Stegostoma tigrinum: one gene and its partner. The protein of the gene in region 1 purifies or fractionates together with the protein of each later gene. This does not show direct contact. Links are inferred from orthologs where the notes say so. Each region holds a gene or a part of one and is shown on either strand. Other genes may lie near its edges.

What was found.
Region 2: the proteins of vars1 (region 1) and eef1b2 fractionate together in Homo sapiens (co-fractionation; 3 studies listed by BioGRID, with this or other methods). This does not show direct contact. The link is inferred for Stegostoma tigrinum from reciprocal best matches to the Homo sapiens genes VARS1 and EEF1B2.

What each region holds. Positions count from the first base shown.
Region 1 is NC_081387.1:26,734,008-26,750,442, forward strand, and holds the start of vars1 (valine--tRNA ligase), read left to right. Parts: upstream 1-7,977; 5' UTR 7,978-8,087; intron 8,088-16,435. Other genes in the region: histone H2B-like, read left to right, coding at 975-985. UniProt on the Homo sapiens protein: Catalyzes the attachment of valine to tRNA(Val).
Region 2 is NC_081360.1:12,908,365-12,924,353, forward strand, and holds the start of eef1b2 (elongation factor 1-beta), read right to left. Parts: upstream 8,230-15,989; 5' UTR 8,112-8,229; coding exon 8,032-8,111; intron 7,294-8,031; coding exon 7,171-7,293; intron 5,044-7,170; coding exon 4,914-5,043; intron 4,226-4,913; coding exon 4,159-4,225; intron 3,635-4,158; coding exon 3,509-3,634; intron 3,087-3,508; coding exon 3,019-3,086; intron 1-3,018. Other genes in the region: ndufs1 (NADH-ubiquinone oxidoreductase 75 kDa subunit, mitochondrial), read left to right, coding at 11,396-11,492, 12,484-12,575, 14,779-14,886, 15,555-15,631. UniProt on the Homo sapiens protein: Catalytic subunit of the guanine nucleotide exchange factor (GEF) (eEF1B subcomplex) of the eukaryotic elongation factor 1 complex (eEF1).

The DNA of each region.
Region 1 (16,435 bases):
CAACAGTGTCTGTCTCTGGATTGCCCAGGCTTTGATGTTGTGCAGTGTTATTCTTTGAGGTTCTGCTAAAGTCGGTGTTCTGGTGTCTGAATCTTACACAGACATTCACCTTTCAGGTCCAGAATGTGATATTATTGATTATCAGAGGTGTATTCATTGTTCCTTGTTACATTTGGCATGAATTGTCTGTTTGAAAACACAGATTACCTGCAGTTAACGCCTTCAATTCTTCTGCATGGCAATCCCTGTCCTTGTGTTATAAAGCAAGTAGTTATCAAGCAGGCCTTAAAGCAGTTTTTTTCACTTGGCTTAAACTCCCTCTTTTTCCAGATGTGGCCAAATGCTTTCAATTCCCGTATAAGTTTGTTCTTGTCCCTTAATGGTTTATACCAGACCAAGTTATTGCTGCTTCTTTCCCTGTGTAACAGTTCATCTTTTGTTTGATTCATTCTTTCCATGAACAGTTATTAAAGTTCAGAAGCCTACACTGTCACAGCTGTGGATGAGGTCAGTGAGATGCTCGAATCAATCACTAACTGGGATATTGGTGGAGTTGTGTGATGATGCTGTGGCTTAAAAAAGTTACTTTGTCATGGTTTTTATTTTGAAGAGAGGTTTTAAGGCAGAGGTGGGATGAGCAGTCTATGAGAAGACAAACAGATCATGAAGCTTTGAATGATTTTTTTAAAAGGCTGTAACAATAGAAGCAGCCTGAATGGGCGTGATGAAGCTCCCAAGAAATGAAAGCTATTTTTCTCTCTCTTGGTTATAGCCACAAGCTGGGGGTTCCCTGCATTCTACATGAGTTGCATGTGAGACTATCTGTGTCTTGAATTCGCCTTTTGCCAAGAGCTAGTTCATGGGATTGGAACTGTTAATTAGTAATAGTTACTGTATATATTACACTGTTAAGCTTTCCAATAGAGTTAAAGTTATACCAATTCTTCTTTCCTTTGCTTGTATTAAACTATAAGGGAACAATAAAGTGTGTTTTGCTTAATCCAATCAAATTACATCTGTAACACAGCAACTTAAATCTACCTTTAAATAATGCCAGACAGACACAAGGGACTGAATGACCTGTTCCTAGGTTCCTAATTCTGCTCAGGTGACAGATTCCCTTGAACTGAATTGAAAATTCTGTTCTCCTTCCTGGAGATAAGACAGTCCTCTTCTCAACTGAGCTGGAGATTTAACTAAACTGAAATCAACAAGTTGATATTTTTGTTTTGCATGTTATGGACCAGATCAAATACCCCCTTAACTATACCAAGGACGTAATCCAGATCCAAACTTTTATCTCATTTAAAGGCAAGTGTAAGGTGCTTTGTTCCAAACATAATTCAATCTGTATTGGAACGGTTAATTACTAATAGTTTCTGCATTTATTTTCTGTTAAGTTTTCTAGTGGAGCTAAGTTATTCCAAGTCCTTCTTTCTTTTGTTGTATTTTAGCTATATTGAATGAATGATGTGTGTTTTGCTCTAAATCCAGTAGTTCTACCAATTGAATTGCATCTGAAATGCAACACCTTACACTTCCTTTAAAATAAGAATGTGGAGTTTGCATGTTCTCCCTATGTCTGAGAGAGGATGGTGCTGGACTTCATCCAAGTGATCTGCTATCCTGACACAATCGAAAGATGTACAGGTTAGGTGGATCGGCCGTGGCAACTGTAGGATTATAGGGATAGGGTGGGTGGGCGGTTGTCTTTGGGTCTGGTAAGATGTTCTTTGGAGGTTGGTCCAGATACAATGGGCCAAATGGTCTCTTTTTACACTGTAGGGTTTGTATGATTTCCCCAGATGTCAGTGCTTAGGCCACGGCTCTGTGTGGCAGTGTAAAGTTGATTTGATTTATTATTGTCACTTGTACCAGATATTGTGAAAAATATTGCTTTGCATGCTATACAGACAAATCATACCTTACATAAGTACATCAGGGTAAATAGAGCAGATTGCAGAATATAGTGTTACAGCTACAGAGGAGGTGCAGAAAAAGATCAGCTTTGATATATGAGAGATCCATACAGAAGTCTGAAAACAGCAGGGAAGAAGCTGTTCTTGAATCTGTTGGTGTATGTTTTCAAACTTTTGCATCTTATGTTTGAAGGATGTGAGTGGAAGAGAGTAGAACATGGGTGGGAAGGGTCTTTGATTTGGTTGGTTGCTTTCCCGAAGCATTAGGAAGTGTAGAGGGAATCAATGGGAGGAAGGCTGTGTTCACAACTCTCTGCAGTTTCTAACGGTCTTGGGCACAGAGTTGCCAAACCAAGCTGTGATGGCATTGGGATAGAATACTTTCTATGGCGCATCTATAGAAATTAGCAAGAGACAGTGTGGACAGGCTGAATTTCCTTAGCCTTCTGAGGACATCGAGGTGAGAATGTGCTTTCTTGACTGTAGAATTGATGTGGATGGCTCAGGATAAATTGTTGGTGATATTCACCACCTCAGTACCATTGACACAGACAGGGGCTTGTCCTCAACTCCACTTCCTCAATCAATGGTGCTGAGGTCATGGTGTTTGAGAGCATCTCCAACACCCCTGTTTTCAGAGCTTGTCTTCTCATTAAACCCTACTAATGGCAAAACGGCACCCCTATTTTACAATGGGAGTCAAACAGGTGGCTTTCAGCCAATCTGTCTGAACCAATACCCCTTCCAATAAAGACCATGGGGCTGCAGTGTACTCCCTCAGCAGTAGAAGTCACTGTTTCATTAAGAGATAACAAGATGTGGAGGTGAATGAACACAGCAGGCCAAGCAGTAGTGGAGGAGCAGGAAAGCTGACATTTCGGGTCTGGACCCTTCTTCAGAAAAGGACCAGAAAATGTTCAGACCCAAAATGTCAGCTCCTCTGATGCTGCTTGGCCTGCTGTGTACATCCAGCTCCAGACTTTGTTACCTCAGATTCTCCAACATCGCCAGTTTCTGCTGTGACTGTTTTATTAAGCCGATTTTAGCTCATTTCTGTGTCTGCTGGGCAGACGTGTGGGTACCGTAATGCTATGTATTTTATTGTTTAAAAATGCAATGAGCAAACATTTGGGCACTCAAAGACTTCTGTGCAGTCAGCAAGTTTTCGGTTGAGGATGCCATTCACAATGGGATCTCACTGTACATAGTTTGCTCAAATGTTGCAGTGCAGAGTAAAGACTTCAAAATTTGCCAATAATACTACGTTTGGAATTGGGCCAAAGCTGTGCGGATGATCGCACTGAAGAGCCACAGGATAGAGAGGCAAGCAGAATGGGTGGATAAATGGTGAATGTAAGAATTTAGAGCAGGAGTAGGCTGCTCAAGTCTGTTCTGCCATTCAATAGGATCGTGGCTGATCTTTTCAGGGACTCAGGTCCACTTACCCACCCACTCATCCTAATCCTTAATTCCTTTACCATTCAAAAATCTACCTTTGCTTTAAAAGCATTCAGTGACAAAGCCTCCACCTCTTTACAGGACAGGGAATTCCACAGATTCACACCCCTTTGGGGAAAGAAATTCTGCCTCAGCTCAGTGCTAAATCTGCTCCCTCTCATTTTGAGACTATGCGCCTCCCCCCCCCCCCCCCCCCCCCGCCACCCCATTTCTTGTTTCACCCACCAGTGGAAACAGCCTCCCTGGTCCTATCAGGTGGATACAATTTATTTTGGAGAAGCGTGACTATGAGCGGCCTGTTCCACAGGGTTCAGTGCTGGCTGCACTTTTGTTTGTCATTTACATTAATGCATTGTAGAATATAGAAAGCATCTCTAGTAAATGTGTGGAGGGCACCAGGATTGATGGTATCGTGGACAGTGTAGTGGAATCTTGATCAATTGGGTCAATGGGCTGAGGACTGGTAGATGGAGTTTGATTTGGATAAATACCAGTATTGCATTTTAGTAAAACAAACAAAGATAAGGCTTATACAATTAAAAATAGGGCCTTGGGTAGTGTTGTAGACAAAGAGATCTAGGGGTTCAGGTGCATAAGTCTTTGAAGTTTGCATCACACGCAGACAGAGCGTCTAAGAAGAGGTTTAGCACACTTACCTTCATTGCTCAGAGCTTTGAGATTACAATTGGGGTGTCATGTTAAGATTGTCCTGGATGTTGGTGAGGCCTCTTCTGGAGTACGGTGTCAACTTCTGATCTTTCTGTTATGGGAAGGATGTTATTAAGCTGGGGAGGGCTCAGAAGAGATTTACCAGGAAGTTGCTGGGAATGAAGCGTTTGAATTATAAGTAGAGGCTGGATAATCTGGGACTTTTCTCACTGGGGCGAAGGCGATTGATGGGTGACCTTAAGGAAGTTTTTAAAATAATAAGTAGTGTAGATAAATCAGAATGGTGAGTGTCTTTTCCCTAGGGAGGGGGGATTTCCAGACTAGGGGGTACAGTAGCTCAGTGGTTAGCACTGCAGCCTCACAGCACCAGGGACCCAGGTTTGATCCCACCCTCGGGTGACTGTGCAGAGTTTGCACGTTTTCTCCGTGTTTGCGTGGGTTTCCTTCAAGTGTTCCGGTTTCCTCCCACAGCCCAAAGATGTGCAGGTTAGATGGTTTGGCCATACTGAATTGCCCACACATCTGTAGGTTAGGTGGACTAGCCATGGGCAATGCAGGGCTACAGAGATGGGATGGGGCGTGGGTCTGGGCAGGATGCTTTTCATTTGTGTGGACTCCATGAGCTGAATGGCCTGCTTCCACACAGTAATGGATTCTATAGTGGGTATAATTTTAAGGTGAGAGGAGAAAAATTTTAAAAAGACACGAGGGGACTTTTTTTTTGCCCAGCGAGTGCTTCGTGTGTGGAATAATTTTCCAGGGGAAATAGTGGATGTGTGTATAGTTGCAACATTTAAGAGACATTTGGATAAGTACATGAATAGGAAAGGTTTGGAGGGATATGGGCCAGGAGCAGGCAGGTGGGGCTAGTTTAGTTTGGGATTATGATTGGCATGGGCTGGTTGGACCGAAGGGTCTGTTTCCGTGCTGTGTGACTATATATAAGTGTGAGGCTACAGTCATGAAGGTGCATTTATTTAATATGTTAATTTGTAATATGGAAGCATTGATAGTATTGGGGCTGGCCAGGCCTGAAAGCAGCGTAAAACGGCTGGGAAGATTTTTAGCTGAAGCAGTAGTTTGTTTAGTTTGACATTTAAACTTCAACTATGAGCTGTGGTAATCGCAGTGTCTGGCGCTGGAATACATCCAAGGTACAAGATTAATGCAGTCCACAACAGGGCCGTGCACTCAAAACAGAAAGGGTGGTGTTGAGTAGCTGCTGCCTCTGTTTGTACAGAAATAGATGGATAAGGAACGTCTTTGAGGATGCTGATTGAAAATCCTATACTACGTTTGTTCAAAGTCTGGGATTCAGCCCAGGGTAGGAAGGAAGGGCACAATGCGGAGGTGTTCTGCAAAGCGGTCCCCAAGCCTCCACTTATCCCAGGCCCCAAGATGACTTTCCATATTAAGCAGAGGTTCATCTGCACATCTACCAATGTGGTATACTGTATCCATTGCACCCAGTGTGGCTTCCTCTACATTGGGGAAACCAAGCGGAGGCTTGGGGACCGCTTTGCAGAACACCTCCGCTCGGTTCGCAACAAACAACTGCACCTCACAGTCCTAAACCATTTCAACTCCCCTTCCCATTCTTTAGATGACACGTCCATCATGGGCCTCCTGCAGTGCCACAATGATGCCACCCGAAGGTTGCAGGAACAGCAACTCATATTCCGCTTGGGAACCCTGCAGCCCAATGGTATCAATGTGGACTTCACAAGCTTCAAAATCTCCCCTTCCCCCACCGCATCCCAAAACCAGCCCAGTTCGTTCCCCCCGACACTGCACCACACAACCAGCCCAGCTCTTCCCCTCGACCCAGTGCATCCCAAAACCAGCCCAGCCTGTCTCTGCCTCCCTAACCTGTTCTTCCTCTCACCCATCCCTTCCTCCCAACCCAAGCCGCACCTTCATTTCCTACCTACTAACCTCATTCCACCTCCTTGACATGTCCGTCCTCCCTGGACTGCCCTATCCCCTCCCTACCTCCCCACCTATACTCTCCCCTCCACCTATCTTCTTTTCTCTCCATCTTCGGTCCACCTCCCCCTCTCTCCCTATTTATTCCAGAACCCTCTCCCCATCCCCCTCTCTGATGAAGGGTCTAGGCCCGAAACGTCAGCTTTTGTGCTTGAGATGCTGCTGGGCCTGCTGTGTTCATCCAGCTTCACACTTTACTATCGGGAATGATGGCTGGATATGAGGGGAAATGTGAATAATGTAGAGATGATAGAATTTGTGGTTAGCACTGCTGCCTCACAGCATCGGGGACTTAAATTTGATCCCACCCTCGGACAACTGTCTGTGCAAAGTTTGTACGTACTCCCCATGTCTGCATGGGTTTCCTCTCACACTGCAAAGGTGTGCAGGTGAGGGTGGGATTGGCCATGCTAAATTGTCCCATAGTGCCCAGGGATGTGCGGGTTAGGGTGGGATTGGCCGTGCTAAATTGTCCCATGGTGCCCAGGGATGTGCAGGTTAGGGTGGGATTGGCCGTGCTAAATTGTCCCGTAGTGCCCAGGGATGTGCAGGTTAGGGTGGATTGGCCGTGCTAAATTGCCCCATAGTGCCCAGGGATGTGCAGGTTAGGGTGGGATTGGCTGTGCTAAATTGTCCCATAGTGCCCAGGGATGTGCAGGTTAGGGTGGATTGGCCGTGCTAAATTGTCCCATAGTGCCCAGGGATGTGCAGGTTAGGGTGGATTGGCCGTGCTAAATTGTCCCATAGTGCCCAGGGATGTGCAGGTTAGGGTGGGTTGGCCGTGCTAAATTGTCCCATAGTGCCCAGGGATGTGCAGGCTAAGGTGGACTGGCCGTGCTAAATTGTCCCATAGTGCCCAGGGATGTGCGGGTTAGGGTGGGTTGGCCGTGCTAAATTGTCCCATAGTGCCCAGGGATGTGCGGGTTAGGGTGGATTGGCCGTGCTAAATTGTCCCATAGTGCCCAGGGATGTGCAGGTTAGGGTGGATTGGCAAACTAAATGCCCCGTGATGTCCAGGATGTGCATACCATTTGGATTAGCTGTGTGAAATAGAGGGTCACACGGATAGGGCAGGGTGTTTACATCTGGGTGGGATGTTCTTCGGAAGACGGGTTTGTACTCTGGGCTGAATGACCTGCTTCCACACTGCAGGGATTCTATGAATCCAAATGTTAAGAATATCGACGTATCACTCCTGGGTTGTCTGGGAATTATTTGGTGCATACAGGAAATGACTTTCCAATAAAAGAGGGAATAAACAGCTGCCACCATAAACTAATGTTAGATGACCTCCAGGTCTCCTCCCTGCCTGAATTACAGGTACCGCAACAGGAGAAGATTTGAGGATGAAGAATCTGCCGGGACTGTGGAGTCTTGCATTAATATCCGGAAGCATGGGACCAATATTGGAAAGAGCAAATGAGGAAGTACAACCGATGGATCGAAGGGAGACTTTAAGGACTATGGGCTTTATTTGCTCTGTCAGATGGGACATGTTACACCGGGGGGAATAGACGATGATAATGCATAGCTTGTGGTCGATTTCGGTAAGGGACATTAAGTGTGTGCGGTGTTCTACAGGCAGCCTGTTGAATGTGTGTCAGAAAAGGTGTTAAAATGACAGTTTTATGCACTTTTGGAGTCTTTTGTTCCCCTCCCCATGTTCAGTGGACTACAGAGAAGGGGGTGGGAAATAGTGTGTAGATATTATGAATATGTAGGGGTGCCAGTAATATCATTACATGTCTGTTTTCACCGCACTCCTACCACCCCCACCTCCGAGAAGCGGGAGGGAGGATGGGAGGGGGGACAGAGAGGAGGGGGAGAGAGGGAGAGTTGGGAGTCGGGAAAGGGGGTTGCGGTGTGTCAGTGAGCTGCTCCTTGTGCAGTTTGTATTGGATTGTTCCGCAGTTACCAGCAGAGGGACTCCTCAATGCGGATATTACAGAGCAGGAAGCTCCCTCCCACCACCCCCTGTCTCTCTCTCTCTGTCCTCACGCCGGCCTGGGCCGAGGGAGTCTATTCTACCCGGGGAGCTGCGGCCAGGACAAGAAGGTTCGTAACCTCGCCCTGGCTGGGGGCTGGGGGCTGGGGGCTGGGGACAGAGACAGAGACAGAGCCAGAGCTGCATTTAGCGGCAGCAGAGGGAGCAAGAAAGAGCCATGTGTCATTTTATAAAAGTGATACTGGTGAGGGATTGGGGGGAGTCTCAGAGTGGGGCAGGGACAGAGGGAGGGGAGTAGGGGATGGCAGGGACAGAGGGAGGGGAGTAGGGGGTGGCAGGGACAGAGGAAGGGAGGAATGAGAGGATGGGCAGGGGAGAGGGAAGAGAGAGAGATGGTGGGGGTTGTCGGGGAGAGAGTGATCCAGGCGCTCCCGTGCTGGGAGGGCCTGCCTCCCCCACCCCGAGCCTCGGGTTAATCCACCGCCGCTCTTGTACCACCCAGTCCCGGGCTCTGAGCTGACCCTCTCCCGCTCAGTACCAGCACCGCTGGCTGGGGCTTTAGCTTTCATTTACCTTATTGCACCCTTTTTTTTGCTGCTTTGATTTTGCTTATTGCGCCTTGCTGGCCCTGGGAGGTGAGTGTATCTCTACCTCTTAATTCCCTGCCTGTCTGTGCCCTGAGAGCTGATGCAACCGGCTGTAACTTTGCAGCACATGCTAAAATACTTTATCAAGCTGTGGGTCTGCTTCTTTCACATCTGTCTGCAGAACACCACCCGCTCCCTCCCCCTCCTTCTTTATTTTCTTCCCAGCCCCTGATTGCCCCTCGGGCTGAATGCCTTGTTGGGAGAGTCAGTCCCATTTGCTGGTCACAGATTTCCTCACCTAAATACCATCCATGTTGTATACTGTTTTTGTTGTTTGCAGTACAGATGCTCATCTGCAGTCATTTGCTCCTCTTTAAACAGCTGCATGGATGGTGGAACCTGGAACCCCCAGACTTTCTAGGCTCAAACTGCCAACAGGTCCCCCACCCCCATCATCCCCACTTTGTACTTTTATAAATATTTCTATCATTTTACTTAAATTAAGGAGGGATTTGAACCCTAGTCGCTAGTGCATTTGGATTTTCAATCCAGTGAAATTACCACCAAGCCACCATCTCTATCTCTCTCTCTCTCTCTCTATCCTCCTTCCCCCCCACCCGCCCCAAAACATGCGTATTAAACACAGCAGGCCGGGCAGTATCAGAGGAGCAGGAAAGCTGACGTTTCAGGTTTACACCCTTCATCTGATGCTGCCTGGCCTGCTGTGTGTTCCTCCAGCTCCACGCTCTGTTATCCCATTTTGAAATGCTGTTGGCGGTGGAGCAGTATTTATTTTCTAATGAACCTGCTCAAGGATGTTGACTTAGACATGCATTGCCAGGCTCAAGAGCAGCTTCTTCCCCACTGTCAGTCTGAACAAACTCCTCAAATTGCAAATTTAATGTTGACTCCACCCTTTGTGCACCTTCTTAACTTTGCATTCCTTGCTCTGGATGTGAGTTTGCTCGCTGAGCTGGAAGGTTAGTTTTCAGACATTTTGTCACTTTTTTTTAATTTGAAAAAATATACTTTATTCATAGAATGTACAAAAAATAAAACATTTATACACCTACTCAGTCATGCAAGGCACTCCGGGTTACCCAGGGGGTACGTACACCAACTAAAGGCAAAAACAAAACAGAGAAAAAAAAAACAAATCAAAGAAAATACCGCGGCAGTCGTCACCCCGCACAGTCCCCGTTGGCCCTCTGACCAGTTGGGGAAGGCGCCAGCTGGGCCCAGTTACCAGATAGGGTTCTTTTCCCTTTTCTGGATGAGGGGGCTCATACGGTGGTCTTTCCCCACCGCGCCCTGGCGGCGGCTGCCCCAAACTTTAGTGCGTCCCTCAGCACGTAGCCCTGGACCTTGGAGTGCGCCAGTCTGCACCACTCGGTCGGGGTCAGTTCTTTCAGCTGGCAGACCAGCAAGTTGCGGGCAGACCAAAGAGCGTCTTTCACCGCATTGATGGTCCTCCAGGCGCAGTTGACATTGGTCTCGGTGTGCGTCCCCGGAAACAGCCCGTAGAGCACGGAGTCCCGGGTCACGGAGCTGCTCGGGACGAACCTCGACAAATACCACTGCATCCCCCTCCAGACCTCTTGCGCGTAGGCACACTCCAGAAGGAGGTGATCAACAGTCTCGTCCCCTCCGCAGCCACCTCGAGGGCAGCGTGCGGTGGCGCAGAGATTCCGGGCATGCCTAAAGGATCTCACTGGCAGAGCCCCTCTCACCGCCAGCCAAGCAATGTCCTTGTGCTTGTTTGAAAGTTCTGGCGATGAGGCATTCTGCCAAACGACTTTGGCAGTCTGCATGGGGAACCACACGACGGGATCCACCCTCTCCTTTTCCCGAAGGGCCCTAAGGATACTACGTGCTGACCACTGCCTGACGGCCTTGTGGTCAAAGGTGTTTCCTTTCAAAAATTTCTCCACGAAGGACAGGTGGTACGGGACGGTCCAACTACTCGGAGCGTTCCACGGCAACGAGGCCAGGCCCATCCTTCGCAACACCGGGGACAGGTGGAACCTCAGTAAGTAGTGACACTTGGTGTTTGCGTACTGAGGATCTACGCACAGCTTGATGCAGCCGCACACAAAGGTAGCCGTCAGGGCAAGGGTGGCGTTCGGTACGCCCTTTCCCCCATTTTCCAGGTCTTTGTACATGGTGTCCCTGCGGACCCGGTCCATCCTCGACCCCCAAATGAAGTGGAAGATGGCCCGGGTGACCGCAGCGGCGCAGGTCCAGGGAATAGGCCAGGCCTGCGCCACATACAACAGTACCGAAAGCCCCTCGCACCTGACAACCAGGTTCTTACGCGCGATGGAGGGGGACCGGAGCGTCCACCTGCCCAGCTTCTGCTTCAATTTGGTGATATGCTCCTCCCAAGTCTTAGTGCACGCCCCAGCTCCACCAAACCAAACACCCGGCACCTTCAGGTCGTCTGTCCTGACGGTGAAGGGGATGAAGGAGCAGTCGTCCCAGTTCCCGAAGAACATGACCTCGCTCTTACCCCTATTGACTTTGGCACCCGAGGCCAGTTCAAACTGGCCGCAGATGTCCAATAGTCTACTCACCGACCGACGATCGGTGCAGAAGACGGCGACGTCGTCCATGTACAGGGAGGTCTTGACCTGAAGGTCTCCGCTGCCTGGGATAGTCACGCCCTTCAGGCTCACGTCCTTCCTGATGGAGGCAGCGAAGGGCTCCACACAGCCCACGAACAAGGCAGGAGAGAGCGGGCAGCCCTGCCTGACTCCAGATCTAACAGGAAAACTGTCTGATTCCCACCCGTTGATCGAGACTGCGCTAACGATGTTGGCGTAGAGCAGCCGGATCCAATTGCGGATGCCCTCCCCGAACCCCAATTTGGAGAGGACGTCCCTCATGTAAGCATGAGAGACCCTGTCGAAGGCCTTCTCCTGGTCCAGGCTGACGAGGCAGGTGTCCACCCGCCTGTCCTGCACGTAGGCGATCGTATCCCTGATGAGCGCGAGGCTCTCAGCGATCTTCCTGCCCGGCACAGCACAGGTTTGGACAGGGTGAATCACCGACTCCAGGACAGACCTGACCCGGTTGGCTATGGCCTTGGCCAGGATTTTGTAGTCCACGTTCAAAAGTGAAATGGGACGCCAATTCTTAATTTCTTCCCTCCCTCCCCCCCCCCCCTTCCTCTTGTAAATGAGGGTGATGATGCCCTTCCTCATGGACTTGCACATTTCCCCTGCCCGAAGTGCACTATCGTACACCTCCAGCAGGTCCTGGCCAACCAGGTCCCACAGAGTGGAATACAGCTCGACCGGTAAGCCGTCGCTCCCGGGAGTCTTACTCCCCTCCAAGAACTTAAGGGCTCTGGTCAGCTCGTCCAGGGATATCGGCCGGTCCAGCCACTCCCTCGTGCCGTCGTCTAAGACCTCCGTGATAGACGACAGGAACGACTTGGAGGCCGTGCTGTCCGTGGGCTTCGTGTCGTACAGTCCGGCATAGAAGGATCTGCTGATCCTCAAAATGTCGGGCCGAGACGACGTCACCGAGCCGTCGTCCTCCTTCAGCCGGCTAAGCACAGAGCTCTCTTTGTGCACCTTCTGAAAGAAGAAACGCAAGCACGTCTCGTCCTGCTCCACGGAGCGGACCCTGGACCGAAGATTATCCTGGAGGCCTCTGCGGCGAAGAGCGAGGCTTGCTGGCCCCTCACCTCGCGGAGGTCCTCCGTGACATCGACCCCCATCAAATGCAGAAGGAGCAGGTTCTGCACCCTTTTCTGGAGTCGCGACAGCTTTCCCCGCCTCTCTCTCGCCTTCCGAACACCCTTGAGGACAAAGAACCTCTCGATGTTCTCCTTCACCGTCTCCCACCAGTCGCCCGGAGACTCAAAGAGGGTTTCACGGTTCTCCAACCGGCGTACTCCCTCTTAAGCTCCTCGACGTTCTCTGGGGTCAACAGAGTCGTGTTGAGCTTCCACGTCCCCTTGCCGGCCGGCTGGTCGTCCTGTAAGTGACAGTCGGCCAGCAGGAGGCCGTATCCCGCACTCCTGCAGAAACAGGAGGTCAGAGAAGAACACCAGCTCGACGCCGCTGGACCTGACCGAGAACGTCCGTGACACAAACAGGAAGTCTATCCTTGAGCGAATAGACCCGTCTGGCCACGACCAGATGTATCTCCGCTGCACTCCGTCTGCAGGGGTGCTGAAGACGTCGAACAGCTTGGCGTCCTTCACCGTGCCCATCAGGAATCTGGACGTGACGTCCAGTTGACTCCCCCCACCCGCTGTCCCCACGCCGGATCTTCCATCTGCATCAATGACGCAGTTGAAGTCTCCGCCTAGGATGACCAGGCCTGGATGTAGCCAGCAGGAATGGAAGCCACTGCAGGACGGCCAACTGCTCACTCCGTACCGCTGGGGCATACACGTTGATCAGCCTCAGGGGAGCGTTCCTATAGGTGATGTCAGCCACTAGGAGGCGCCCCCCCAACCACCTCCTGAACTTGAGAGATGGTGAAGTTGCGCCCCCGCAGCAGAATAGCCAGATCCAAGGAGCTACAGTCATTACCCCCGACCAGATCGAAGGCCCACAGGTCCAGGCGCCGGACCATTTCCCGTACCTGCCGAGGTGCGGTATCCCGCACTCCTGCAGAAACAGGAGGTCCGCCTTGATGGTGGTCAGGTAGGCCAACGTGGACACGCATCTTGCGGTTGACTTGACACTGCGCACATTAATGCTCACAACTCGTACCCCCATTGTGGGCAGTGACCGCAGTACCCTCCCCAAGTCCAAGGTCCAGCCCCTCCATCTGTCCCTTCGTGCCCATTGCCCGGGCTAACTGCTGGACGCTCTCTGGGCTCAGGAAACTGTCCGTGCTGCCTTCTGGATGGCATCCCCCCGTCAGGGGTGCGGAGGCAGGAGGGTCCGGCTCCAGGTCAGGCTGGGGACGTGCTGTTTCCTCCTTCCCGCCTGGAAGTTCCGGGGGGCCCTCCAGTGCTCCAGCGGCACTTGACTGGGTGTCGGAGTGAGCCTCAGGATGCCTCCCGTCACCTGGAAGCGGGGTGCTGCTTTCCTTCCCCCTCGAGACCTTTAACTTCTGCTTCGGGTGGGCCCTCTCTGAATCCCCCTCGTCAGAGGAGCTCTTATAGCCCCCCTGTAGCTGCCTCTTCCCGCCTGATGGTTGCGGTTCCTGGGCCCGTCGACGCACCTTCCTCCTCGCTTTCCGGACTGTTGTCCACTCCCCTGGGTCGCCTGTCGCCGCCTCCATTGGCTCCGGGTTGTCGGGGGGGATCAGAGCCTGCAGGGGCGCTTTACTGGCCTCGGGCCCATCCTGCGGGGCTGGGCCCTCCTGCACGGCCTGGCCCTCCTGCACATTAGTGGGGTCCTTGCTGGGCCCTGGTGCCTTCCTCTCCTCCGGGGGGGGGGGGCTGGCCCTGCATTGCCCCTGCCGGCGACCTGGGCGTAGGTGGTCCCCTGGCACGGGCATGCCCTATAGAGGTGGCCCGCTTCCCCGCAAAGGTTGCAGCTTTTCTCTCGTGGGCAATCCTTTGCAAGGTGTCCCTCCTCCCTGCAGTTCCTGCAGATGGTGGCTTTGCAGTCGGCCGCCACGTGACCTGACCTACCACAGGCATGGCAGCCTTTGGGTTGCCCTGCGTAGGTCAGGTAGCCCTTGCTCCCGCCGATCGCGAAGCTGGACGGTGGGTGTATGACATCCCCGTCTGCGCCCATCCTCAGCGTCACCTTGACCTGCCTCTTACTCGTCCAGATGCCAAAGGGGTCCATGATGTCAGTTAGGTCCCCTTCCACCTTCACATACCTTCCGAGGAAGGTCAGGACATCAACTGCTGGCACATGCGGGTTGTACATATGTACAGTCACCATACGGCCCCTCTCCGCTGGCATCACAAACAGTGGGACAGCGGTCAATACAGAGAGGGGTCCCTCACCTCCTTTCTCCTTGAAAACCTCCAGGAAGCGCTCGCAAAGCTTGGCACTCCTGAAGGTCACATCGTAAAAACCTCCTCCGGGGAAATCCTGCAGGCAGTAAATGTCCGCAGCAGCGAACCCACAACAGTCCAACAGGACCCTCTTCACGAAGAAGGTGCGGTCCACAGGTGCACCTTCATCCACCTTCTTTACGGAAACACGGATGGTGTTCCGGACCCCCTGACCTGGGGCACGAGCACTTGCCGCAGCCATCCTTGCAGATTGGCTGCTCCCCTGAACCAGCGTTAGGCCGAAGCCAGCATTAAGATACACTGGTCGCAAGGGTGCACAGCCAACCTGACGTCCTCCTTTCACCTCCAACACAGCACTCTCCTCCTCTCGGCCCACAAGAGAGTGGGTCTTTATTGTGTTCAAGATATAAGCTGCTTCACTGAGCTTGAAGGTTTGTTCCCAGACATTTCGTCACCATTCTAGGTAACGTCAACAGTGAGCCTCCGATGAAGCGCTGGTGTTATGTCCCGCTTTCTATTTGTCTGGTTAGGTTTCCTTGGGTTGGTGATGTCATTTCCTGCGTTGGTGATGTCATTTCCTGTTCTTTTTCTCAGGGGATGGTAGATTGGCTCCAAATCAATGTGTTTGTTGATGGAATTCCGGTTGGAATGCCATGCTTCTAGGAATTCTCGTGCATGTCTCTGTTTGGCTTGTCCTAGGATGGATGTGTTGTCCCAATCAAAGTGGTGTCCTTCCTCATCTGTATGTAAGGATACGAGTGATAGTGGGTCATGTCGTTTCGTGGCTAGTTGATGTTCATGTATTCTGGTGGGTAGCTTTCTGCCAGTTTGTCCAATGTAGTGTTTGGGACATAACAGCAGCGCTTCGTCGGAGGCTCACTGATGATGTTACCTAGAACGGTGACCAAACGTCTGAAAACTACCTTCTAACCTTCCAGCTCAGCGAGCAAACTCACATCCAGAACCTCAACCTGAGCTACAAATCTTCTCAAAACGTGCTATTCCTTGCTCTGTTCTATCGCCCTATGATCTTTGTAGGTTATGATGTGCCTGTATTGCACACAGAACAGAACTTTTCACTGTACTTGGGTACATAATAAATCAAATCAAATCCCCAAAGAAAGGAAGCCCCTCTGCAGCAGGTTTATGTGTACGCTGTGCATGAGATCGATCCTGAAACGGTTTGGCTTTACCATGCTGCACCATAGGTTGCTGTGTGTGTGTGTGCACGCGTCTGGAATTCCCGCTCCTTCAGAACCTTCGCTCCTTCTAAAAAGAACAAAAGCCACTTTCTCCTGGTCACCAACATCTCTTTGCACACGGCAGAATGACCTTGTTGCTTCTCTTTTGTCTCATCTATGTGAAACACCTCAGCACGGATTAACAAGGCCCTAATATTACTTGTCAGCTGGAAATATTGCTCTAAAGAACCCATCGAAGGGATCGGACGGGCTGGGTTTGTTCTTTTTTTTTGAGCAGGGACCTGATGATCATCTCTATCTCGAAGATTTGGAGGGGCAGAGATGGGAAGGGTTGGGAGGGCACTTGGTCCACTAGGGGACATAGTTTGAAGGTGGGAGTTAGGAGACAAAAAGAGGAGTTGAGAATTATTTTTGTCCAGAGGGTGGTGGGACTCGATGCCTGAACGCATGCTTGAGTTACAAACTCATGTCCCGTTTGAGTGGCATTTGGATATTCGGCTTGATTGCCGTCGCCAGGTAGAAAGCACAGGCAGAGGAGCCCATTCAGCCCTTCCAGATTGCTCCCCCGCTCAGTATGACCGTAGCCAATCATCCGACTGGGTCCCCTGTTTCTGCTTTCTCCCTGTAAGATAGGCTATGGGCCGAAAGCTGGGGGGTGGGGTGAGTGTGGACAGAGCAGTGTTGGTGCGGGTGAAGGATTAATCCCTCAATTTTGTGTGTGTGTGTGCCTC
Region 2 (15,989 bases), on another chromosome or scaffold:
GGAAGTCGTAATTGGTCTGACCTAGTTTTTAAGATCATCTCTGGCTACAGTGAAGGTACCAGAGGACTGGAGGATAACTAGTGGGGCTCCACTTTGAGAAGAGGTAGAGATAAAGGCAATTACAAACCAGCAAGTCTCCATTGTAGGGAAACTAAGTGAGAAAATTTTGAAGCAGAGAATTAAATCTCTACTTGGAGAGACAAAGATTCAGACAGGCAAGTTTGATTTAATTGAGATGATCGGTGGTATGCATGAAGGTAGTGCAGTTGACATCAAAGCCTCCGAGAATCTCCAAAGTAGGAGACTAGAGTTCACACCATACGAGATCCAGGGTAACAGTTAGCTTAGTGGTAGGAGATCGATTGGTTTGAGTGTGGCGGCCAGAGTATGGTGGGGTAGCACAAGGGTCAGTGCAGGATCCCTTCTTGTTGATGTAGATACAATCAAGAAAAAAATGGGAGGAATAAATCTTAGGTTAGCAGATAAAGTTTGGCTAAGTGGTCAACAATGGAGGGGTGGTGCCTTAGGTTACAGAAGGATAAAATAGCTTGGTCAGATCAGCAGATTGAATTTAATCTTGGAGTGCACAAGGTGATGCACTGGAATTAACAGCATACTCAATAGCATGGAGCAGTTTAGAAGCAAAGAAAGGCTGGATAATCTCACTGTTAAGAATAGAAAAGAAAGAGACCTGATACAGCATACCAGATTGAGGAGCAAGGACAAGGGGAATAGAAAGCACCTGTTCCTTCAGTCGAAGGATTGATAACAAGGGGGCAGACACACAAGGTGAATCGCAGGGGGTTTGAGGAGGATTGCGATTTTATTTCACCCAGGAGGGCGCCAGCAATCTGGAATGCACAGCCCAAAGGGGCAATTGAGGCACAAAACCTGAATATTTACTAAGCACCTGAACAAACTTGAAGGATCAAAACATTCAAGACACTGGGCAAAGTGGGACCAGTATAGACATGGACTCAAGTGCCTTTTCTGTACTGTATGGGTACAAGTCCATACAAGCTATCAAACAGGCTACAACGTGAAATCCTGCAGCATATCATTTACTCACCCACCGTAACGTTAAGTTTCACCTCAAATGTATGCACTTAGACCACAAACTACTGTTTCATCTTGTTTGCCTAAGCAAACACCAAATTCTGCACAAGCAAATCTCTGCAGTTGCAACAGAAATTTACAAAATACAACCACAAAATTCAGCCAATGAAGTCAATTTCAACATTCAGGCCTGATAGTCAAACAATTTTTACTGAAAGCAATGAAAGTTTAAGGGAAAATATAACACTGCTAATGTTACTTTATCCAAACAGATCAGGGATTTGTACTTGCCACCTCAGTTCAGCTGTACAGGAGGTTCTGCTATAACGTGTTCTGACAACACAAATTGACTGTAATGCAACTGACAAATAGGGGAATGCTATTTCTTCAACACAAACTTGTGTTGGCTATAGCAATTCCATCAATTGGGCATCTTGATGTCAAGAGTCCTTTGCTAATGGTATGTAGTGTAGACGTCATCAGGAGCTTGCTGGAAGGACACAAGCAGTTATAATAGTCAGGGGTGACACTGTCTATAGTTTACTGTCATCCACCACTCAGGCTGGCATCACGTGGCTTCTTGTGGGTCTACTGTTACTGCTGCTCTTCTCTCCTCACCCCACTTTTTGAAAAGCCCTTCAAGCAATCTCCAGGTTGGTGATAGTTGAGACATACCTTAAATTCCATTTACCACTTTGCTCCATTACCTTAACTGTAAAATTCTCATCCTTATCAAATCCTCAAGTCTTAGCTCAATTTGTAATCTCAAACAATTGAGCAATTTGCTGAAAGAAGTGTTTTTTTCAAGTCCAGCCTCTTGCACACCTGATTTTCGTTGCTCCACCACACTTTCTTTATTCACTGCAGTCCAACCCCCAAAATTTCCATTTCTTAGTAACCCTTCTGTCTTTCCAAAGATTCCTGAAACTGACTGATCATCAGCTATCCTCATCTGGCTTGGCACAGATTCTTGTTTAATATACAAGACTAACTGTTTGCATCATCCCAAAACCCCAGAAGGAGCAAACATCCTCAGTAAGGAAAGGAATACCTGATGTGCCAGCTCATTACATAAAGGGTTGTAGGAGTGTGGCAGAATTTTGAGCTCAGTCTCACAATCCATCAGATTGTTTAGAGACTCTCATGCGAGTCTTGGATAAGGACATGGAGGATTGTAAAATGCAGGATATACAAGGTAGATTGATCTTACTAGGATAATAGGGCAACACAACATTGTGGTCCAAAGAGCCTGTACTATGTTGTAATGTTCTATGTTCAATGATTTCAAACAGCTGTTAAGAACCGAGTTGGACCAACCTGTCCAAACAGCTGTTGACAACAGTACTATCCTTTGTTACCTTTTTTGGTGGTCCGTCCACCCTGCCACCGCCCCACACACATCATTCCTCCCCCCACCTTTCCCACTGGCTCGATTTTATATGACATGAAGTTGCACTGGAATGTAACTATCTAATTAAAGCAGAATCCCCTGTAAAAAGGACATTAAGAGTGAATTAGTGAATAAGTATCAAATCGCTGAAGCTGGCAATGACCAGCCAAAATCAAATTTGCAGAAGCTCACTTGCTTAATAGGTCAGCCATCTACCTTCATTAATCAGGTTCAATATTCTGTAGGAGTCAGCATAACACTTAATTCTTTGCGACACAATAAGTGAGCATTTAACACAAGTCAAAGTGAGAGGACAGCTCAAAAGTACTCTGACCTCAGCAGTTCTGGCTACTTGAAGCAGACTAAGTGATAAGCTTGCCAATCTTTTCTGAATGATCAATTTAAACTTACAAAGCTCTTCCTCAATAATTCAATGAAGTATAATAGGAAGCTTTAAAAAAATCCATTCAAATATATTGTTTTTGTTTTATAAAAGTACACAGGCTTTTCAGCAGCCAATTGCAGATGCTTAAATTGAGATTTGTTTGCTCAATAGTTGGAAACATGCTTACCTTGTCATCTTCAACTACACACTGAATCTGTAGCTTTTTGATGCCATAACCCACAGGAACCAGTTTGGCTAGAATGGAAAAGTAGTTATTAGAGAATTTAAAAAGCTACCATCCTTCCTAGTTTCAGATTTAGGAAGGACAAAGAAACAACCCTCAAAAGCAGAAGTCTTTATGCCATAACAATATGCCAAGATACAAAAATGTCACTATTACACTTTTACTGAGAACTTTACCCAAGATGGCCAAATGAAATTTGGCATATTACTCATGTACATAACAGCAGTTTGCGATCAGAATGATAGACGCTGCTTCCTGATGCTATACCAAGCCAACAATCCATTTGTCTACTTAGTAATTCTGCAGTTTTCCAAAACTGGAAAAATATCCGCAAAGTGACTTGGGTTGGCCTCAAGACCTGAACTTATCACTATCTAGGTCATTACAGAATATTGCAAGCAGTCTGGCCATTATGTAAAGTAATAATACTCACAGGCACCCCAAAGTAAGCCGTCCATAGTCACTGAACGGACACACTCTTCCATTTTGATCATGTCAGTTTCATCATCCCATGGCTTCACATCCAACAAAATAGATGATTTAGCAATAAGTGCTGGCTCTAAAAAAAACCGACAAGATCATGTCATGAGTGTGATCATTTATTAGAACATCAGCCTGCAATTACATGCAGTTATACAAAGGACTTGCCATACCACTGTATACCTCAGTGTTCCAGTTCTCCACAAACTCCTTACCTACAAAGCTGGAATCCTCTGAGTGGGTAATTTCTCAATAAAAAACACTGGTTTTGTCAGATTCAATTAATTCACATCACTGATTCAGTCGAAAGATGGTGAATTGAAATCATCATTAAAACCACTGCATTTCACAGCATTCATTTACTTAATGCTGATTCCTTGCAACTGCATTACAGAACATGATACATTAGGAATGAAACAAACTGAAGAACTGGTGTTGTTGTTCATCTATTATAGTATTTGCACAGCTGAACGTCTCCACATTCAACACACTTGACCCATAATAGGACATATCATACTAGGTTAAGGAGAATTTTAAACAAGTTGATAAAACATTAAGCACTCTTTACTAGAGATCACTAAACTTTGAAGTGACACTACATACTTTTGGACTTCTTAGCTTCATATTGGGCTAGACGTTCTTCTTTAAGCCTTTTAGCCTCTGCACTTTCCTGCAAGAAATAGATACAAGAAACTGTCAACTACACTTGTGGAACAATGTAGTAAAATATAGTTCTGACACTGCTTTCTCCTTACAGATGCTGACTTTTTGCCAGCAATTTGTTTCAGATCTCCAGCATCTGCAATTTTAATCAGATACAGTAGGGTATTCATTGGAGAAAGCATAACCACAAAATCAGCCAAAGGATGACAAATGTAAAATCAAAAACAAGCGCCAGATGCTTGGAAATCATAAACAAACCAAGCCATTCTAAATTCAGTAACCTCCGATTTGGAACCAAATCAGTTTCTCAGGCTGCCAGCAACCCCAATTTTATAGATAAATCTTTTTCAGCTGGTCACAATTGGATACTCCACAATCCTAGAGACAGAACAAACTTGGCTTCATTGTCTCAGCCACTAGTTTTTGAACAAATTCTGCAAATTTACAACAGTTATAAGCTGCTTTTGAAGTTAGTACAGTTACAGATACTTGGTGCCTCCACCATGCAGGAGGAGGTGTTTGAGGGCAAGTAATGTATCAAAGCTGAAGTCTTTCAAATTTGTATTTTTGAATTCAAGCATACTTGAAAACAGTTACCAAAGTTTTCACGAGACTACAGAAAAAACATCCTTCAACTTTATCTCAATTCAGGCCAGGAGGGTTTAAGCAAGTACAAAGAGCTTCACTGAACCTACCTCTTCATCATCAGATCCAAAGAGATCAATGTCATTGTCGTCATCATTGTCATCCACAGCTTTTGCTGTTGTTGTATCTGCTACATTTTGTGGACCATATTTACTAAGGGGCTGCTTAACACCTGGAAGGCTAAGAATGGCTTAGAGTCAGAAATGCAAATAGGCAAGCAAACATCAGTATTTAGAACTTCAGAAGTAGTGACAGGATTTCCCACTTCTGCAGCCCAGCAAATTAATGCTGAAACACAAACAGTACAAATCTTGAAATTTCATTTGATACAAAATCTGCTCTATTACAACCCCCATGATCTTGTCTTATCTACAAGACACTGTTGGTTTTGGAGTTGCAACCATTCTACCTCAAGTTAAAATTTCAATGAAGCCTTTAGAAATGAAGCTACTTTCCAGGTCAAGGGATTGCTGCTAATTTTGGAAACTTTCTGGAATCTTTCTGGAATTGGAATTCTCCAACTGGAAAATGAAATTGGCATCTAACTCAAGCCTGCACTATAAATCAAGACATTTGGAAAACAATTAAATAGAAATAATCACTACACAAAAAAAAGCATAAATCCACAGATTTTATATACAGCTCTGATGCAATGACTAGGCCATTAAAATCACTGGTTTGTGGCCTCAAAAGTTATGCTCTTCAAAGAGATAGAGTCGAGGGTGGCCTACAGAGATCCAAAGTTTACACCATGGATCTAGATCAACAACTCGTGTATATTATGTAACACCTGCTGTCACTGCGTGTGGAAGGTCAAGATGATACAGCTCATCTACTGATGGATCTCAATGGCAGTTGCCATGGCATGGGAACTATAAACCACAAGTCTCTGTTTCAGAGATGCAATATTTGACTAAAAACAGATCGAAGTTAATTTAAGAGATGGTAGGAACTGCAGATGCGGGAGAATCTGATTTAACAAGGTGTAGAGCCAGGTGAACACAGCAGGCCAAGCAGCAGAGGAGCAGCTTTCCAGCTCTACACCGCTTTATCAAAGTTAATTCAAGTTCACTTTTTGTCAAATGACTTGCAAGACTGGTATAGACTACACAATGAAACTGCAATCATCCACACAATGCAGGTCATCCATGATGACAGCAATCAGTTTAATTTAGACACAAAAGCAGCCACATTGCATTTGATAATCAGTAATGCAGGTTTTTCCTTGAAGTGATCGACCAATGAAGTGTAAACACATTAGTATCAGTCTTTTGGGGGTACAGCTTGAAGTTGTCCCAAGATAAACTCAAGGGAAACTTTGGTCATTGAGTTTTGAAGTAGACAGGGTCAGAACAGGAGAAAGCAGAGAGCACAACCACTGATTTGGAGGCAGATCTAACCATAGTCAGGGTGGAAGAAATGAGTGGCCTAAGGATGTGGAGAGAGTCTGGACGCATGAAGAAATTAAGGCTGTTGGGCGACTGATCAACTTAGGTGAGCAACCAGATGATGAGAAATAAAAACATGAAAAATGAAATAAAGATCGTAGATACTGGAAATTTTAAACAAAAAGAAACTGCTGGGGAAAGTCAGATCTGGCAGCATCTGTAGAAAAAGCATAGAGCCTGGGGATTGTTCTGCACGTGCATCTCGGAACGGATTTCTTTCTGCAGATGCTGCCACACTTGTAGTGTTTTGCCAACTGTTCATTATTTTAAATGGCATCTTCTTTGGCAGGCATCAAGACATCAACGGCAACAAATGTGCTAAGAGGGGGGTCCTGTTTGCATACCGAACGTTTCGATCGTCAGCAAGCCCCATCTTCAAAATGAGACAGAGGCTAGCTGAATGTTCTTTGAAAGAGCCAGCACAAGCTTAGACCAAAAGAGCTCAAAATGATACATTATATGGCTTACAACAATTCAGTAGGTATGTTTGACTAATGAGATGATTAACTCAAGCAAATCATTCTCAGCTTGAAAGTGAACAGTTATCACAAGGTCATGTGAATTGTCAGTTAGAATGGACATTTCAAGTCCACAAGATGTTTAACAGACCTCATAACAGGAACATTCACCTCCGTGCAGATCAAAGGAAATGACACCCTCAACAGCCAGCCTGCATGAATGACCAAATATACTACTGCACAACTTGAACAGCATTCCCCTGGATGATCTAACAGACATCAAAAAGGTCAAGTTATTAACCACACTGCAGCTGTTTTATCTTCCCAATAGTTACACAGGCTGTAACCATAAATAGTGGGACTCAGTAGGTGTCAAACAGCTCATATCAAACATAACATACCAAGCCTTGGTGCTTTCATAGGATTGGATATGGTTGTACCAGCGAAGTGCATGGTGGAAGTCAGCTGATGGTGGAGCATCAAGAGCTTCAAACACAGCTATATCAGCTTGTGACGGAACATACCTATAACAAATTAGGAATTACTTTACAAAATCAAACAACATTGCCCCACAGACACACACAACTACTACTGCAAACAAAGTGAACCATCATGTCGAAGAGCTGAACTTAAAAGAAAACAAGAGAGATAAATAAAACAAAACCTCATCTCGGGTGTTTGGAGAAATAGGGAATGGACAGCTGGGATGGGATTTGGGAGGAAAAAAAGTAGGAGACAGTCCAAGGGTGTTAGGAAGTGTCCTAGGGCAGGGGAAGACAGTAAGCAAGAGCGGTATATTTTGGGAGGGTATAGAAATCGAAAAGTCAGATGGGGGCATGACAGCCCATAGCATTGAGATAAAATGGGGAGGGTGAAAGAGAAGCAAGAAGAAATTTACCCAGAAAAGATGCCAATACAGCAGCGGGTAGACGAAGGGAAAGGGTAATGGAGGGCGGAGAATCGGGTGAAGAAAAACACGCCTGAGGATTGGGGCAGGGAAGAGCAAAAAAAAGGGGTGGGGGCGCGACGGAAGAAGGGCAACGGCTAAGACACGATCAGAAGTAACTTTCAGCTGTAACGCGTCCCAAGGAAGCGTGCCGAGGGCGTGAAGGGTCGACGTGGTGAACAGTCCGAATCGGGTCGCCTACTAGCCTAGATCCTTATCCAGCTGGCGGCGTGAGGGCCTCAGGCCGGCATGTGCCAACATCAGCCCCCTCCCCCTCCAACCGATCCCGTCCATCCTCAAGAGCGGCCTTACCCACCCCTCGATGTAGCTCCGGTCCGCCAGGTAGTCGTTCAGCACCTGGAGGCCGGAGGGAGATTTGAGATCGCCGAATCCCATGTCCAAGAGAGAGGTAGAGAATAGTGGGGTGGTAGGTGACGGGCAGGCCGGTGGACTTTGCAGCTCCTAAACTCCGATTGCTTCGCCACCGCGAGCGGCAGCCGTTACAAAAAGGGCGACCGACCACGCGCGCCGCCTTTATATCCTCGCCGGAAAGAGGGTCGGGGGGGCGGAGCCTAAAAAAAACAAGAAAATAATCCAAAACAAACACGACCACCCTCCCGCAACCGAACACATTTTTGAAATTAAAGTTAAGCTGCGACGGGCTCGCCTCGGGAAAGTTCACGTCGACTTTTGGGAGGGGGAGGGTGGAGACGGAAATAGCCGAAGCCTGTGTTTTTTAAAAGGAAACCCACCCCACGCAACCAACACCCGATTTTATTTACGCGTTTCCTTACGGTTATAAAGCTGAGTTGCGGCAGGAGGAGAGGAAGGGGAATGTTAAATCGGGAACGTTGTGATTTTGCGGGTTTTTTTCCGACGACGCCCGTCTTTCCGGAGATTGCCGAGTGGTGGTCGGATGGAGCCGAGTCCGAGCCGCCATTGCACCGCTGTTCTGGTTGGGGAGGCTAAATAGCGAAACGAGTGTTGCTGGTGGCAGAGAGCAACGTCTGATATTGGCTACTCTTGTCTGTGATTAACTGAGGTAGTTGGTGTGCTCGGTGGAATAATTTCGCGACCCTGTTCTGGTGTCTGTCGGTTGCAGACCCAGGTTTGTGGGCTTTGCCCTTGAGCAGAATCTTTGAGTTTTGCCTGAGAGGTTTGTGAACCGTCTGACTCTCCTCTCTGCGTGTGAGTGTTGGTCAGGTTGAACTGACAGTTTTAATGCGACGCTGTTTGTAAACACAGTCTTTCTTTCCCCAACACTTCCACCCGTCCTTTTTTTAAAAAAAATATGATTTAACCTACCTTGTTCTCTTATTTCCCCGTCAGTAGCTAATGATTTCATTCTGCATTGTGTTGAAATCAAGGTGTGTAGACTGAGCTATGATTTCCAGTATTTTTTTTTTGTTTTCTGTACCGATTCCAGCATCTACAGTAGTTTGCGGCTGAACACACTGAGACTAATTGGCTGTAGGACTGTTGAAGAGTCACTGGACCCGAAACATTAACTTTTTTTCTCACAGATGCTGCCAGACCTGCTGAACTTTTCCAGCAACTTCTGTTTTTGTTCGAAACGTTATCACTTGGTTTCCCTCCAAAGATGCTACCGTATCTGCTGAGTTTCTCCGGCAGTTTGTTTGTTTTTGTTTCTGGCTTACGTCGTGCACAGTTGTTTGTCTTTTTTGTGTGAGTAGATGCTGCCCAAAGCCATCCCACAATAACAACAGATATCCTCAGAATCTTCCTTGTCATCTCAAATGTCAGGTTGAAGCCTCCCATTCAGAACCTTGAGTGACAAATCAATCGCGTTTTTTAAAGGCTGTGATTTTTTTCTGCTGAAACCACAAGCTGTCTGCTACTGGGTAGACTTAAAAACTTCCTTCAAATATTTTGAAGAGTAACGAAATTATCCCTGTTTCTTGCTGAATGTGTTGTGTTTGCTTAACTAGCTTCACAGTGTTGTTTCTGTGACCTTGCTGTGTAAACATTTGTGGTGTTTCCTACACAAGAACAGTAACAATTTTAGGAATGTTTTCTTCAATGTTAAAACACTTTCACATGATGTGATAGATGCTATCATAAAATTTATTTTTGCTGCCATTATTCTCTGAAATGCATGGTGAATTTAATGCCTTTGGTTGATATAGCTTTTTTTTATTCGTTTGGGGATGTGGTTTTGATTAGCAAGGTTAATATTTATTGCCATCCCTATTTGTCCTTGCAAAACTGGTGGTGATCTGTTTTCTTGAACTGCTGTAGTTATTGTGTGGTTTAGGAGGAGGTTTTGGGATTTAGACCTCCATAGCACTCACCAAGGAATGGTGATTATATTTTGAATTCAGGATGGTGAGTGCTATGGGTGAAAACTTGCAGGTGGTGATGTTACATTCATCTGCTCCCTTTCCTAGAGAAGCAGCTGCCGTCATTGGTTTGGCAGGTGCTGTCGAGGCAGATTTGGTGAGTTGCTGCAGTTGGGATCGGCTCTGAAACAATATTGGTGTTTTTGTGGAGGATACCTGCAATCAACATCACTTGATTCCTTCTAAGCTACCAGTTCAATCCTTGGTGCAATATCTCACTTTTGCCTCACTGTGAAATCAGTGTTCCTTTTGTTGCCATATAAAATTGCTCTATATGGGATTGTCTTAAACTCCTGCACATCTTCACTTGTATTGTTTATTTGATCCTAAGCACCTAGTGATAAGGTTCTAAGCGCACATTTCACTAAACATCCACTTACAGGCCGTGAACTGGCTAATCACAAATGCAAGTATAGTATATCAATGACTAAAAATAGGAATTTGACTTACCTGCCATGTATATCCCGAAACGTGATTTTTGGGGCTAGAGAAACGTGACCATGTTGTGCTGAATCAATGCTAAGTTCTGCAATTTTGTAGAATCGGTAGTGAATGTTTTCAAATTGACCATTTTTCATGAAATGGTAGCTAAAGGGTGCAATCTGGCCTAACATGCTTCAGCCATCATATGTTGCTTCAGTTTAGTGCAAAACCCTGCATAAGATAACATATATTGTTAATTATAAGCTGGGCATTCTGTAATTTTGAATGCTAATATCCTCAGACTGACGCAGAATAATATTTGAGTTGTTTCAGTAGATCACCCCAGTGTTTCATCAATAATCAGTGTCCACAGATTAGAGCAAGCAGGCTTGCTATCTTTTGGTGATGTACTGAATCTTGGCATCTTCAGATCCTGATTGTTCAAGGTTTTTGTTGCTGACAGAATCAGCTTGGTGAGAGTGGCAGAAAGGTGGCTGAGAATCTTCAAATATTGCTGTTCCTTCAGTGTCACTGGGTCAAAATCCTGCAATTCTCTCCCAAATAGCACTATGGGTCTATCAGCACCAAATGAACTATAGCAGTTCAAGAAGGCAGATCATCATCACTTTCTCAAGGGTGACTATGTACAAACAATGAATGATGGCCCAACCAGTGCCATCCATGTCCCTTAAGTGAATTGAAAAAAATGCCAAGTTTCTCACAGCTCAGATTTCAACCTTGAGCAACAAAGGAAACATACTTCCACTTATGATCCTAACCTCAAAAAGGATAACTTCGATCAAGAATTCCTGAATGGGGGCTTTATATTAATTTTTCTGTTCTAGTATAGAACAGCCTGAGCAACACTTGTGACCATTAAGTGAACTCTTGCTGTTTATGCAGGTCTCAATCATGCTGCGATTACCTGTGCTTCGCAAGGCGTTAACAGGTGTTTCCCAATCTGCCAAAGATATCCTGGGAACAAAGAATAATGGTATGAAAACTACTGTGATCAACAATACAGCTGATCTTAAAAGAATTTCATGCACACATTTACAAGGGTACAATAAAATGATCACTTTTTTTGTCATGCTTGTGCTAAAAATGAATGAGAGCTAATTTCTTATTGATTTGCCCTCTGGATTTTGGCTTTTCTGACCTGACCAAGTTTATTGACAGCCCTTGTTTCCTATGAGAAGATAGCAATCAGCAGTTATAAGTACTGGGCTTGCTGGGAGCCATCAGTGAGCTTTTAGTGTCACCATATTCTATGGGTCTGCATCATGTTTAGCTGGCAAGGTCTGAATTGCATCAGTGAAATGTCTACATTTTGAAAACAATCCTTTCATGATGCCTTAATTTCAATATATGGGGAGAATGTTGATTCCTTATTTTCCTTTTTTCTGTCTCATTCTGTTGCAGTATAAGTTTAACAGCACTGAAAGCCCCACACGGTCGAATACTTCTCAACTCTTGATTATGCCCTTTTCCTGCTTCCATATTGCATAATCTTTTGCAAAGCAGCCACCCTCTGTTTTCCACCCTCACCTTCCATGACAAATTTTTGAATTATAATATTACCATTCCTGGGAGTTACAGCATGTGTAGAACGTAATGAGTTTCTTCCATCAAGTGACCAAAGGAGCTTCTCGTTGAAGTGTCACATCAAAGGAAATTATCTCCAATGTGCATCTCTAGTCTTTAGATATTCAGATTTGATATACTTAACCTGTATCTTTGTACATTTTGTCCACTTTGCCACACCACAACACGCCATAGCCCTGCCCACCCCAACCCAAGCTCAGTCACTGGCAGTGACCTTGTTTGGAAAATACCGCTCGAGTAACAGAAACCAAATGGATTATTCATTTGCGCACTGCAATCCCAAAATGACACTTTGTAAAGTTATTTTATTCGTGTCTTTGTAAAAATTTTCTTGCTGGTACAACAAAATCATTGGTAAACTTCCTTATTTTACTTTTCAGCTCGCAGCACTGCTACAGCAGCGAGCAACCTGGTTGAAGTGTTTATTGATGGCAAGCAGGTGATGGTGGAGCCTGGAACCACTGTTCTGCAGGTACAGTTGCGAACCTAAGCATTGTGAATTTAGGCCTAGGTCGTGCTGGAAAGGATTAAAAAGAGATTCCTGCAGACATTTACTTCAGCGGAATAGGAAAGTCAGAAACAAGTAAAATTGCACGTGGATCAATCTTTGGACATTCAGCATAATGCCAGTATTTATTACTGTTGTTTAATCTTGTGTTCCTAGAGTTTCTGAACTGCAGAATCTTGCAATCCACAAATAGGACCCAGTTGGCTGGGCTTTGACTAGATTAATGGGGGCAAAAGTACTGTATGTTACCTATAGGTTGAAATGTGGATACTCTTTCTGCAATAAGTGGGAGATAGTCACATGTCAAGCTGTGCTTATGGCACAAAAATAGATGTCATTGTAAATGGAAGTGTAAAATTACAGCGATATTGATGAACTAACTATAAGCAAAAGTGTAATAAGAGTTTTGATATAGATTAGTGCGAGAAAATCCACTTTGGAAATAAAAAGGATAGGTCTCCATACTCTTTTCATGAAACACTAGACACAGTGAAGATCCATATACCCAGTCTGTCACAATGCCATGGACATGTACAGAAAATAATCAAGGAAGCCAATGGAATTATCAGTTTTGTATTGAGAGGGTGTCAATATAAGAGGAAAATTTGTGTTTCAACAACACTACATTAGAACATAAAACAGTACAGGCCCTCTGGCCCATGATGTTGTGCCAAACTTTTACCTTAACGCTAAGGCCTATTTAACCTCCACCCTTACCTTATACTATTGTCCACATGCCTATCTATTAACCGCTTAAATGCCCCTAATGAGGCCGACTCCACTACCCTCTCCGGCAGTGCATTCCACACCCCTACCACTGTCTCGGTGAAGAACTTGCCTCTGCCTCCCCTGTATCTACCTCCACTCACTTTAAAACTATGCACCCTCATAACAGTTGCCTCCACCCTCAGAAAAAGTCTCTGGCTGTCTACCCTGTCTATACCTCCGATCATTTTGCACACCTCTATCAAGTCACCTCTCATCCTTCGTCATTCTAAAGAGAAAAGCCTTAGCTCTCTCAATCTTTCCTCGTAAGACCTTCCCTCCATTCCAGGCAACATCTTAGTAAATCTCTGCACCTTTTCCAACGCCTCCACATCTTTCCTGTAATGAGGCGAACAGAACTGGACACAATACTCCAGATGTGACCAAACCAGGCTTTTGGATAGCTGTCGCAGTTTTAGTTAATAAACATCAGGAGTGCTGTGTTAATTTCTGGACACTCCACCTTTGGATAGATATGTTGGTTTTAGTTGGATTATGATTTAGGTTTACCAGAATTATGCTGGATTCCCATGGATTAAATTATGACAGGTTGCATAAACCAGGATAGTATCCTCTCATGTTGCAAAATTTGAAGGGAGATGTGATTGAAATTTTCAAGGCCAGAGGTCACTGACACCATGTTATAGTCCAGCAGGTTATTTCACCTGATGAAGGAGCAGCGCTTCAGAAGCTTCTGATTTGAAATAAACCTGTTGAGCCATAACCTGGTGTCATGCGACTGGTACCCCCACATGACGAAATTTTCAAAAAAGAGAAACAGAGTTTTTCTCTATCTATCCTATTTTGGCTGGTTTTGGAGGTTTTAAGATATGGAGCAGAGACTAAAAATAGAGTTACGTATAAGATCTCGACCGATTATGATATGTCTTTTGCGATTAACTGACAATACAAGCTTAGTTCACTTGGCTGGTTTGCAATGCAGAGTGACACCAACAGTATGGGCTCAATTCCCACTGGCTGAGGTTACTATGAGGACCTTCCTTCTCAACCACTCCCTTACCTGGGGCGTGGTGACCCTCAGGTTAAACCACATCAGTCATCTCTCTGTAATGAGAGTGCAACATGTTGTCCTGTAGGACTAGAGCAGCTTTACCTTTAACTCTGTGCCGCATAACATTATCCAGGTATCCATCAACTCATTAGGTAACAAAATGAAGAGCTGGATGAACACAACAGGCCAAGCAGCATCAGAGGAGAAGGAAAGCTCAAACCTAGACCCTGTTATCTCAGATTCTCCAGCATCTGCAGTTCCTACTATCTCTGAAACAACTCGTTAGATAAACAGTTTTCCCTATTTAAACAAGAAAACATGCCTATGAAAAGTAAATTATTTATTTGTTTTCCATTTTGTGATCAATCCATTTGTCTCTTCTGATCACAGGCCTGTGAAAAAGTTGGCATACAGATCCCTCGGTTTTGTTACCATGACAGATTGTCCGTTGCTGGGAATTGTCGAATGTGCCTGGTGGAAATTGAAAAAGCTCCTAAGGTAATAAAAGTGTTAGTGCTTTCTGATGGATTTTCAATTGGGTGAATATGCTGGACGAGATGGGCAATAGAAAGTGATGGGTAGGGAAATAAATTCCATTGTCATAAAATTGAATACTTACTTCAGTAAGAGGATTTTTGTGCCTGGGAAACGATGATCTTCCTACAGGAAAACAGTAGTGAGTCAACTGAGAAATAGAGTGCAATCAACATTGTACAATGCCATTCAACACCTCCCTCTGACTGACTCTGTCTTTTTTTTATTCCTCCTTACCCCTCATGACGGAATACTTTCTTTACTTGCCAACACTTAAAATGCAGAATTGTCCCCTCTGTTGATAATGTGCTGTTGGAGGTGGGACACTGCACACTTTTTACAAAGAAAAGAGTATCAATTTAAAACATGTTCATGTTCCTGAAAAGTAAAAGATAATTTATTTCAGAAATTACAACTAACTTCCAAAACAGGTCAACAACAAGACCCCCTTCTTAAAAAGGGATTAAATAAAAAATACTACAGGGTTTGAATCTCCCTGATCAAACCATAAATATTGAAGAGGCAATTATGAATAATTATATTATGTCCATATGAGTTACTTTCTGATTTAACATATTGCTGTTATTTTGATAATTTAACTGAGTGCCAATTAGGTTTGCTTTTCTTTTTAGCCTGTAGCTGCCTGTGCTATGCCTGTGATGAAAGGGTGGAATATTCTTACCAACTCGGAGAAAAGCAAGAAAGCCAGGTATAGTATGTTACCAGCAAAAATGACCTCCGTTCCCATTATTCTAAATTCCCAAGACTTGGAAAAATAAAGAATAAAAAATAAACTTGTTACCTTACCAATCAGGCACACAGAACCTTTTTTTGGTTAGAGGAGGAGGATGGGTGGGAGACACTACCCGGGTAGTGTTTCAGGTAACGCAGCCACACAAATATATTACCTCATTCACTCACCAGTAATTCTGGGCAGCTTGTTTAAGGCAGGATGTTAAGGAAGGAGTTCAAAGGAGATTTGCTAGAATTATACTAGGAATGAAGAATTTTCAGCACAAGGACAGATTAGAGAGATTGGGCTTACTCTCCTTGTGCAGCAAAGATTA